2 linked regions of the Xenopus tropicalis genome follow. The protein of the gene in region 2 interacts with the protein of the main gene of each other region in a pairwise test. Links are inferred from orthologs where the notes say so. Each region holds a gene or a part of one and is shown on either strand. Other genes may lie near its edges.

The links. The genes of interacting proteins can lie anywhere in the genome.
Region 1: the proteins of bend7 (region 2) and eaf2 interact in binary tests that used the Homo sapiens proteins (3 or more experiments, as listed by UniProt). The two-hybrid records come from large-scale screens. The link is inferred for Xenopus tropicalis from reciprocal best matches to the Homo sapiens genes BEND7 and EAF2.

Annotation. Positions count from the first base shown.
Region 1 is NC_030685.2:88,583,122-88,587,605, forward strand, and holds part of eaf2 (ELL-associated factor 2), read left to right. Parts: intron 1-1,496; coding exon 1,497-1,591; intron 1,592-1,674; coding exon 1,675-1,811; intron 1,812-2,376; coding exon 2,377-2,525; intron 2,526-2,694; coding exon 2,695-2,916; intron 2,917-4,202; coding exon 4,203-4,249; 3' UTR 4,250-4,470; exon of another isoform or gene 4,471-4,484. UniProt on the Homo sapiens protein: Acts as a transcriptional transactivator of TCEA1 elongation activity. Acts as a transcriptional transactivator of ELL and ELL2 elongation activities. Potent inducer of apoptosis in prostatic and non-prostatic cell lines.
Region 2 is NC_030679.2:81,727,127-81,733,177, forward strand, and holds the start of bend7 (BEN domain-containing protein 7), read left to right. Parts: upstream 1-2,576; 5' UTR 2,577-3,059; coding exon 3,060-3,120; intron 3,121-6,051.

The DNA.
Region 1 (4,484 bases), on a different chromosome or scaffold from region 2:
ATTGTGTGCCCAGAACATTCCTTCTCTGTATATTTGTATTTATACATATGGGTAGGGGGTGCCATAGTGTTTCCCTTAGACAGTACAGTATGGGGGTACAGCTTATTGTGTGCCCAGAACATTCCTTCTCTGTGTATTTGTATTTATACATATGGGTAGGGGGTGCCATAGTGTTTCCCTTAGACAGTACAGTATGGGGGTACAGCTTATTGTGTGCCCAGAACATTCCTTCCCTGTATATTTGTATTTATACATATGGGTAGGGGGTGCCATAGTGTTTCCCTTAGACAGTACAGTATGGGGGTACAGCTTATTGTGTGCCCAGAACATTCCCTCTCTGTATATTTGTATTTATACATATGGGTAGGGGGTGCCATAGTGTTTCCCTTAGACAGTATGGGGGTACAGCTTATTGTGTGCCCAGAACATTCCCTCTCTGTATATTTGTATTTATACATATGGGTAGGAGGTGCCATAGTGTTTCCCTTAGACAGTACAGTATGGGGGTACAGCTTATTGTGTGCCCAGAACATTCCTTCTCTGTATATTTGTATTTATACATATGGGTAGGGGGTGCCATAGTGTTTCCCTTAGACAGTACAGTATGGGGGTACAGCTTATTGTGTGCCCAGAACATTCCTTCTCTGTATATTTGTATTTATACATATGGGTAGGGGGTGCCATAGTGTTTCCCTTAGACAGTACAGTATGGGGGTACAGCTTATTGTGTGCCCAGAACATTCCTTCTCTGTATATTTGTATTTATACATATGGGTAGGGGAGCCATAGTGTTTCCCTTAGACAGTACAGTATGGGGGTACAGCTTATTGTGTGCCCAGAACATTCCCTCTCTGTATATTTGTATTTATACATATGGGTAGGGGGTGCCATAGTGTTTCCCTTAGACAGTACAGTATGGGGGTACAGCTTATTGTGTGCCCAGAACATTCCCTCTCTGTATATTTGTATTTATACATATGGGAGGGAGGTGCCATAGTGTTTCCCTTAGACAGTACAGTATGGGGGTACAGCTTATTGTGTGCCCAGAACATTCCTTCTCTGTATATTTGTATTTATACATGTGGGTCAGACAGTCTGTAGGTTCTGGAGGCGGCTCACACAGTACCAGAGGCCGTGGGTGTGTTTGGGTGGGTAGGAATGCTCCGTGGATCAGACGCCTGACAGACTGGCTCTGCTGCCACGTGACTAGATATTATTATAGGATACGTGGTGCTTGGGGGTTAATGGGGCAACATGATAATGGATTGTCTGTTTTCCAGAATAAATCCAATTTTTCCACTTTAGCAGCTTTTATTGCCCGGCTTGGATACCACTATATATAGATTATTGCCCCCTGGGGGTGGGAGAGATTTGCCCCCTGTGCCCCAGTGTAACTGCTCTCCTCACACAGTATTTAGTATTATTGCCATTTCCACTCTTGGGGGGCTGCACTGCGCACCCCTCTCTATACTGTATATTCACTACATTCTTTGCAGATGATTTCAAGCCGGCGTCCATTGATACTTCCTGTGAGGGGAACCTGGAGGCGGGGAAAGGGGAACAGGTGACCATCACTCTGCCCAACATTGAGGTGAGTGTGACCAACTGGAAACTACAACTCCCAGAGTTCCCTGCCAGCCGTGGCACTAAATAACTTTATATTTGTCCTTTCAGGGTTCCACCACCCCAGTCACTGTGTTCAAAGGCTCCAAAAGGCCGTACCTAAGGGAATGTATCCTGATTGTGAATCACGACACCGGGGAGTGCCGGCTGGAGAAATTGAGCAGCAATATTAGTGTCAAAAAGACCAGGTACTGACACAAGCCCGATTCAGCAGGAACAGCCCCCTAAGTTTGCTCACAGCCTGTACAGAGAGATACCATAAAACTAATGCACATAGGGATTCCCCTGTACTAAGCACAATTCAGCAGGAACAGCCCCCTAAGTTTGCTCACAGCCTGTACAGAGAGATACCATAAAACTAATGCACATAGGGATTCCCCTGTACTAAGCACAATTCAGCAGGAACAGCCCCCTAAGTTTGCTCACAGCCTGTACAGAGAGATACCATAAAACTATGGCACATAGGGATTCCCCTGTACTAAGCACAATTCAGCAGGAACAGCCCCCTTAGTTTGCGCATAACCTGTACAGAGAGATACCATAAAACTATGGCACATAGGGATTCCCCTGTACTAAGCACAATTCAGCAGGAACAGCCCCCTAAGTTTGCTCATAGCCTGTACAGAGAGATACCATAAAACTATGGCACATAGGGATTCCCCTGTACTAAGCACAATTCAGCAGGAACTGTACTTAAAGGGAATATTTGCCCTCCTGCAGGGGTAGTACATAATGGCACTTTGTTATTCTCAGGGCTGAAGGAAGCAGCAAGATCCAGTCCCGCTTGGAGCAGCAACAGCAGCAAATGCGCAACGCCAGCAAAACACCCAACAGCGCCAAAAACTCTTCCTCGCCCATGGAGAAAATGTCTCCGGCATCCCCAATGGATGATATAGAGAGGGGTAAGTGGTACCGTAAGCTGACCATTCACCAGGGTCGCTGGCTGGGAGTTCAGGAGAAATGAGAGAACACATAGAGGGTTTGGCTGCACTCAATAGGCCATGTGGTGCTATGACCAGCAGGTGGCGCTATGCTATTTGGCTGCCAGTGACTTTTTCTATTCTCCCGCAGAACTGATGGCGGAAGCCAGCGTTATCGACCAAATGAGCAGTTCGGACAGTTCTTCGGAGTCCAAAAGCTCCTCCTCCAGCGACGACAGCTCCAGCGACTCTGAGGACGAGCGAAACAAGTCGTCCCACTCCAAGCAGCCGCTGCAGCGGCACAACTCGGGCTCCAGCGTAGAGAGCGTGCATAGGTCTCAGGACAACGGGGGGCAGATGATGAGTACTTTGCGTAAGTGCACTTACCCCCCCTCCTGTAGGACCTACTGTAACTGGCATCTAGAGAGCCATATCAAGGGCCAATACCTGCTAGATTGGTTTTCTGTTATTCAGCAGCTCTCCAATTTGGAATTTCAGCAGCTATCTGGTTGCTAGGGTCTTGTTTACCTTAGCAACCAAGCAGTGGTTTGAATGAGAGACTGGAATATGAATAGCGGAGGTGATGAATATAACAATAAGGAATAAAAAGTAACAATGATAAAACTGACGGCTCCAGGGCAATAGGTTTTGGCTGCCGGGGTCAGTGACCCCCATTTGAAAGCTGCAAAGAGACAGAAGAGGAAGGCAAATAAGTGAATAATAATAATAAACTGCAATGCTGCTAGGAATAGGGCATTCTATAACATACTAAAAGTTAACGTAAAGGGTTCAAACTGGTTGCTAGGGTCCAGTTTAACCTAGCAACCAGACAGTGGTTTGAAAGAGAGCCAGAAATATGAATAGAGGAGGGGCTGAATAGAAAGATAAGTAATAAAAAGTAACAATAACAATAAAACTGGAGCCTCACAGAGCAATAGGGTTTGGCTGCCGGGGTCAGTGACCCCCATTTGAAAGCTGGAGAGAGACAAAAAATTAAAAAAGGCGGATCATTAGGGGGTCTGTATGTTTTTAACATGGATTTTTGAATAACATTTGTAGATATGCCCTTTAATCGGATGCCCCGCCTCTGTGTTTGTGCATGACCACGCCTCCTTTTTGCACAGTTGCCCCTCCCATAGGGTGTTTATTAGCCTGTGCTCAGTCTCGGCGGGGGGGGGCAGATTATCAGTTTGCGGCAGTCTCTGGGCAAAGATAGCGACGCCTCCCCTGCCTTTCTTATGTATCTATAGGAGCAAAGGCTCCGCCCACAGCATCCAACTGTCACATTAGTCTGTGGGTTCTGGCAGGGTCCGTAAGTGTCGGCCAAATTACTGGTGCCGGCCAAAATGTTGTCTAGGGTAAATTGGACCCTAGCAACCAGCTGCTGAAAAACTAAAAAGCACCAAAGGCAGATTGTGTGCATCATACTATCCCCTATATGTAATAAAAGGCACTAAGTTTGCCCAGGAGCAGTAACCCATAGCAACCACTACTTTTAAACAGGTGACCAGTAAATGCTACCTGTTGACTGGTTGCTATGGGTTACTGGGCAAACTTAGTCCCTTTTATTACATAATCCCATAAAAGTTCATTTACAGTTGGTCACTTTATCGCTTTGGTCAGCCCTTCCCCCCCATTCTGACTCCGCCTCTCTTTCAGGCAATGACTTACAGCTCAGCGAGTCCGGGAGCGACAGCGACGACTGAGGATTGGCCGGTCGGATTGGGCGGCACAGAGTAGTGAGCCAGCGCCCCATTTGCACTAGAACTGATTCTTCTCCGTGACGGAGGGGACGGATTATCAGGTTTTTGATAAAAAAGACAAATGTATTTGATGAATACGTGGGTATCGCCGCCGCGTTGCCATGGCGCCCTGGTTCTGCCTCTTTATCAGTGAGCGAATAGCGAAATGTTTCTTTTTTTTCCCCTCCTCCCTCAGAAT
Region 2 (6,051 bases):
GGGCAAGCACACTTAAGGAAATTTGTTTTCATATGGTAGCCCGGAATATGTGGGCATTCACGGATTTGCAGCTAGAAGTATTGCACTTTGCCAGTGTTTTGTTACTTGGGAATAGAAATAAGTATGAATGTGAGCCATTTAGTAATGTCTCTAATGTACCTAGAAATGTGAATCTTTACATGCTGAAATGTGGCTCATTGTGGAGATGAGTTTAATATGAAAAACTTTGCATGTTGCCCTGTTCATCTGGAGCCCAGAAGAAACCACTGAGCTTGAACTCTTGCATTTGCTAGGTAGGAAGTCAAATTTTAAGAATTTTTTAAAGGTTCTTAAATAAATCAAAATTATTTTGCACTCTTATTGCACAAATTAATAAGCAGTTGTAGAACACGGGATGCAATTTTTCAGAAGCATGCCTCATATTTACAACAGTTTAAAGGTAAGGCCAATTGTGCATGTGAAGCTGGTCTGAAACATCGAGGAAAAAGAGCTTAACAAAAATGTTATTTCTATCAAAATGGCTTCCATAGCCGTAGCCATAGTCACCTAAGGGATATTTTTCTGGTATATGTTTGTTATTCTGTTACATCTTTTAACAACATATTAGCAAAAGCCATAGAAGTTGTTAGATTTCTGAAGTATTTAGTCCTTAACTGTTTCATCAATAATATATGCGTGAAAGCAAGGCATATGCCATGGTTGACAAATGAAATTGTTGATGTGATCTCTTTATTTTAATTTCTGAGGTTTTGAGAATCAGCACTAAAGGCGGACCAGAAGGGCTGACCGGTGTAGTGGCCGGGTTATGCTATGAACTGAATTAAATGCTGCATGTTCTTGGCTGCTTTTATGTTCATCTTCACCTGTCATTGTTAAACAAGGAGTTTATTAATTATTTATCACTGAGATGGTCAAGAAGATTGATTGGATTGTTTTGCTTTGGAAAAAATTGCATTATGCAGGCTGTATACATAAAAACTTAATTGATCTTTTACACTTTCAAGTCTTTAGAAAAAGGTGTATGAAATGAGTCCGCCTTCTGCCAGCTATTTAGGTAGCAATGCCTAGTATATTCTTATATACTTATAGCAATCGGCATGGGACTATTTTAATGTTGACATATTATTCACTTATAGTGGCATTCAATTTAAATTCAGAGTATTAAATAAAGAGCACCTTTTTTTACCATTTGAATATAAAAGATATATATATCTAATTGAGAACAGCACTACCACCTTTCAATTAGTTATTGTGCGTGGTTACCTCTTGCATAAGGAAAATAACATACAAAAATTTCCCAGCATTCCAGGCTTTTTTGTGCTTTAAAAATCCCTTTATTATATTACTATATATATATATATATATATATATATATATATATATATAAAGCATGTATATAGAAAGCACTCACGGCAGTAAATATAGAAACAGTCCGTTTATTCAATCACCGCATCTACACATTTTGATCCCAACAGGATCGTCATCCTGATGACTTGCTGTCGTGAGTGCTTTCTATATATGTGCTTTGTATTTTTTGGTCAGCACCCGGCGAATGTCTATGATGTGGTGAGTGCCGATTTTTTATAGACTATATATATATATATATATATATTTATACATACAACAGCAGAATTGATGCGCACTCCGTTGTATTCTATTTCTAAAGTTTATTCAAAAAAGCATCTTTACATTAATGGTTTGGTTCTGGTCTAGAACCTTTATCAATATGTTTTATATGCAATACATAAAGAGAACTATAAAGAGAAAATGTACCGCACTCACAGGAACTCCTCAAACAAGAGTGTGTTTTATTTACAAAAATTTTCTCTATAGTTCTCTTAACTTGCACCTGGGACAGTTGGCCTTACAGTTAAGGATAGTGCTCCTCTTTGTTCTTGTGTATATATATAAAGACAAACAAGAGCACACCTATGCAAATCAATTGCCTGGGCGCTGGTTAGGAATTGTGAACAAATTAACAAAGTACACCGCACTTGCAGGTCTTAACATAAAAAAAGTTTTTATTGAATCATTTTGGTCACATAGAGTAACCTTCCTCAGGGACAAGACTCTCCTTTTTCCTGAGGAAGGTCAGTTTATTGGCAGAAACATTGGATTTTCAATAACAAACACATTTGTTTTGACATAAAGACCTGCAAGAGAGGGATGCTTGTTAATTTTTATATATATATATACATATATATATATTTTTTTAATGTAATTAGTTTGTATTGTATAGTTGATATATGGGATATAAGGTGTATGCACTATTTTGAAAACAATGTATCAACCCTAGTAACTTGTGTGGTTTTTATTATCTTATCTGACCTATACTGAAAGGCCTATGAAGCGTCTAAACTTTTTTTCCTAGCGATCGATTTTGTTGGAGTGTCTCCCATAAGTAGTAACTGTAGGCATAACAAACTGTAGACGCTCTCTTTTTGTGCTTGCCAGCCAGTGTAGGGTCACACGGCTCCATTCTACCTGCTTGTAATACTAAACTACTGCCAGCAGGTGGCATGAGTTCTCCTTTACACAAATAATTCTCTTCCCTGTTTATCATTGACAGCAATAAAAAAGGAGGAAGGAGAAGAGCGATCGCATACTCAGAGGGCCCTGTCTCCTGCTCCCGGTGCTCTGGGGACCCCTCGGATGCATTACCTAAGGGACATCTGGATACCAGGGGGTGGGGGGAAAGTGATGCCTGGCTCTCGCTACCACCCAGGGATTTATAATCTGAATCCTTTGCATTTTAACCTCCCGCACCTCTCTCCTGGAAACTGAAAAATAAAACTTTGCCATCAAGCCCTGCAGTTGGAGCTGAAAGGCAGCAGTGTTGCAGATTAAAGAGACGGACCTTGGTCCTCCCTGTGTGTGACTAGTGCTTGATTTCCCATTTTCTTTTATTTCCCCCCTCCCCTTCCTCTTCACTGTCTTAATCTCTCTGATCTTTTTTTTCTCCCTCTGCTCCTCAGTCTCTTCCTCCTCCTTTCTGCCAACAACAAAAATAACAAAAAGCCACCATCAGAGGCACCTCTTGCCAGAATAAAAAGGAAAGCATGGAGTTCTCAGAGAGGAAGAGGAGCAGGAAATCCCAGAGCTTTAAACTGGTGAATCAAGGTAAGGAGCTATAGAATAGACAAGGCTGATGCCCCTTTATAGTGGCACTGGCAGTGTGGCTAAATATGCCTTCCCATGGCAGTGACAGTGTAATCATTGGCATGGGGGGAGGATGGGGAGAGTGGCAGTTGTCAGGAGCATATGAGACAAACAACTAGAAAATATGCACATCAGTAATGCCAGTGGCAGATGTATTAATAGGGCTGCAATGGACAAAAGCTGCAGGGAACCTGCTTGTATATTTTGGACATGGGTTCACTTGGGATTATCATAGGATGAGGGAATGCTACATTATATTCTCAAAATGTCCAACCTGTGGCCCTATAGTTAGACAATTTTTGAGAGTTGTAGTTCAACAATAACTGGAGGGTCACATGTTAGGCACCTCCGCCTTTCAGTAACAGGTGTATATCCATGAATTATTCTTACTGGATTTTTAAGGTGTGTAAAGGGCAATAGATAATAGCAGGTGTTTTATTATTCTCTGACACGTAAATAATGTGGCGTCTGTGCAGCTTGGCTCCAGGAGGCTGCAACGTATTCTCAGGAAACAGACAGAAGGGTGAAGGCCATGAACATGGAAGTGGAGAGTGATCTCTCCATTTGCCGTCTGCTGCTAGTGCTTCCCTGACTGCTGCCAGTGACAAGCTGGGGGTGGGCAGCCTGCAGAGTTCAGGGCAGGTCAGAGCAGCTTTGTACAGGCTCCTGCGGCTGTGTCATGTGCCAGGGCAATTCCACTTACTGATATTCCTACACATACCTTTTATGTGCTTACACAATTGGGCCAGGCTCATAAAAAGGCCAATATACATTTGAAGGTGAAAGATTTAATCCAAGTAAACACACACCCTTATATACTAGTAATCCAACTCATTTTGCAGTTATTCTTATATATATTTTATTGTAAGTTTTTTTTATTCTGCCTTTCTTCACTCTTGCATTTGGTTGCAATATTATTTCTTTTTTTAAGTTTTGCATTTGTTTTCATGTGTGCATGTTTCCTTTTTTTTGGCCATACTTTAACAAGTTATGTTTCTTTTTTTGTTAATGCACACATTCAAACCACTGCCTAGTATAAACTTTACTTCATTTAAAATATGACGATATGAACTGAAAAGATAAAAGACCAATTACTTTGACTGCTTAATAACAGAAGCTGAGGTTGAACAGAACACAAGCCACTGAGATCATAATCACCATGTAGCTCCTTGTTGGCAGTGATGTAATTCTTCGCTGAACTGCCAGACAAGAGGGTTGATGCAAAATGTGTAATTATTTCAAACTGTATTCTCCTGTGGCAGTATCTTTAATAACTATACACAAGATAAAGTGTTTATTTGTTTTACAACTTACAGGCATAACCTTAGGTTTAAATTCCAGATTGTATATAGGCCTTTGATATTCAGGGGATGACAGGGTCCAATTTCACTGTGGAAAAAAGTAAGGAATGGATTTGATACCCGACAGCACCAGGTCCGCTGGCAATCTTTGGATTCTGGCAAATACCAGATTCCATAGACTATCACTATTTGTTGGGCCGGTGGGGGGCTGCTTGGCCTCTTTGGGCAACTGAAAAATTGAATTCACAATCAGGATTTGAATGATCTCTGAGTATATATATATATATATATATATATATATATATATATATATATATATATATACAGAATATTATTAGCATTGAGCTGGATTGCACCACAGGGGTGTGTGGAAAGTTTGTTCTTCCCAATATGCATCATTGTGTAAATTTAGTGCAACAGTACAAGGGGGAATGCATGCAATCACACTAGTCCATGGATGCCAATAGAACTGAAATCAGTCAGATCAGAATAGTAGCAAAACAGCAGTTTTCAGGAAGCATTACCAGCTTGGCTAATGTACTGAATTATAATCAATTCTTTTGTTTAAACCTCTCATAAATGCAGTAACACAACTTCTGAATCTCAGTTTACCTGGTTTAATGTAGGTTGTTACAGACACAGCACAATTTTAATTAACACTGTAAACCATTCTTTCATATAGGGGCAGCTGCTCTGATTGCTGACAGAAGTAAATGATTAACTCTGTTGCTTATGCAGTAATGAAACATTTAGTTAAACATTAGCAGACACTGTAGGTTTAATATTTCTAATGTTGGTGCTAATACAGGAAGTCACCATTTTTCCACCCGCTCAAGGAATGTGCACCAAGTGCTTTCACATCATTGCATACATACCCAAGAAATTCTTAGAAAATACCAGAGAAGTTTCTACCATTTACTCTTTGTGTCACTTTTGGAAAATTAATTTTAATATAAACATTGTTCCAGTAATTTATAAATGAATCTACACCAGAGACTGGTAGCTCAAAATAGATAATCTGGCTCATGATCTCCATTTGCTGTGTCGTTAAAGGGGCACTGACACATTCCTATGAAAATCCATATGAAAGTGTCAGTATTACTAAAAAGTTTCAGCATAAAAATATAACTAGTGAAAAATCCTCAAGCTGAGCGGTACTTACCTGAGTGACACTCCAACACAGCAAAAGGATCCTCTGCAGTTGTGTCCATCATGCTGGGTCAGGGGCAGCACAATCCTTCCATAGGCTGGAGTATTGTTTCCATTTGTAATTGGCCTATCAAAGGATTGCACCGCCTCCAACCCAGCGTGACACAGGAAAACAGTGCATCTCCTTCTTCTCTCAGTCCCCTTCATAAAGAGCAGGTACCATTGGGCTGCTCTCTGAGCGTTGTGACGCATTTCTATGGATTATACAATGGTCTAAGTGAGGCAACTCACTTGTATGTATGTATATTTTTCTTTATATAGCACTACTTGTATGCAGCACTGCACAGCAGACCAATAGATTGATAGAACAAACAGTAGGTCATAACAATAAATGATACAAATAAATACAAAGTATAGTAATAAATACAAAGTAAAGTTGCAT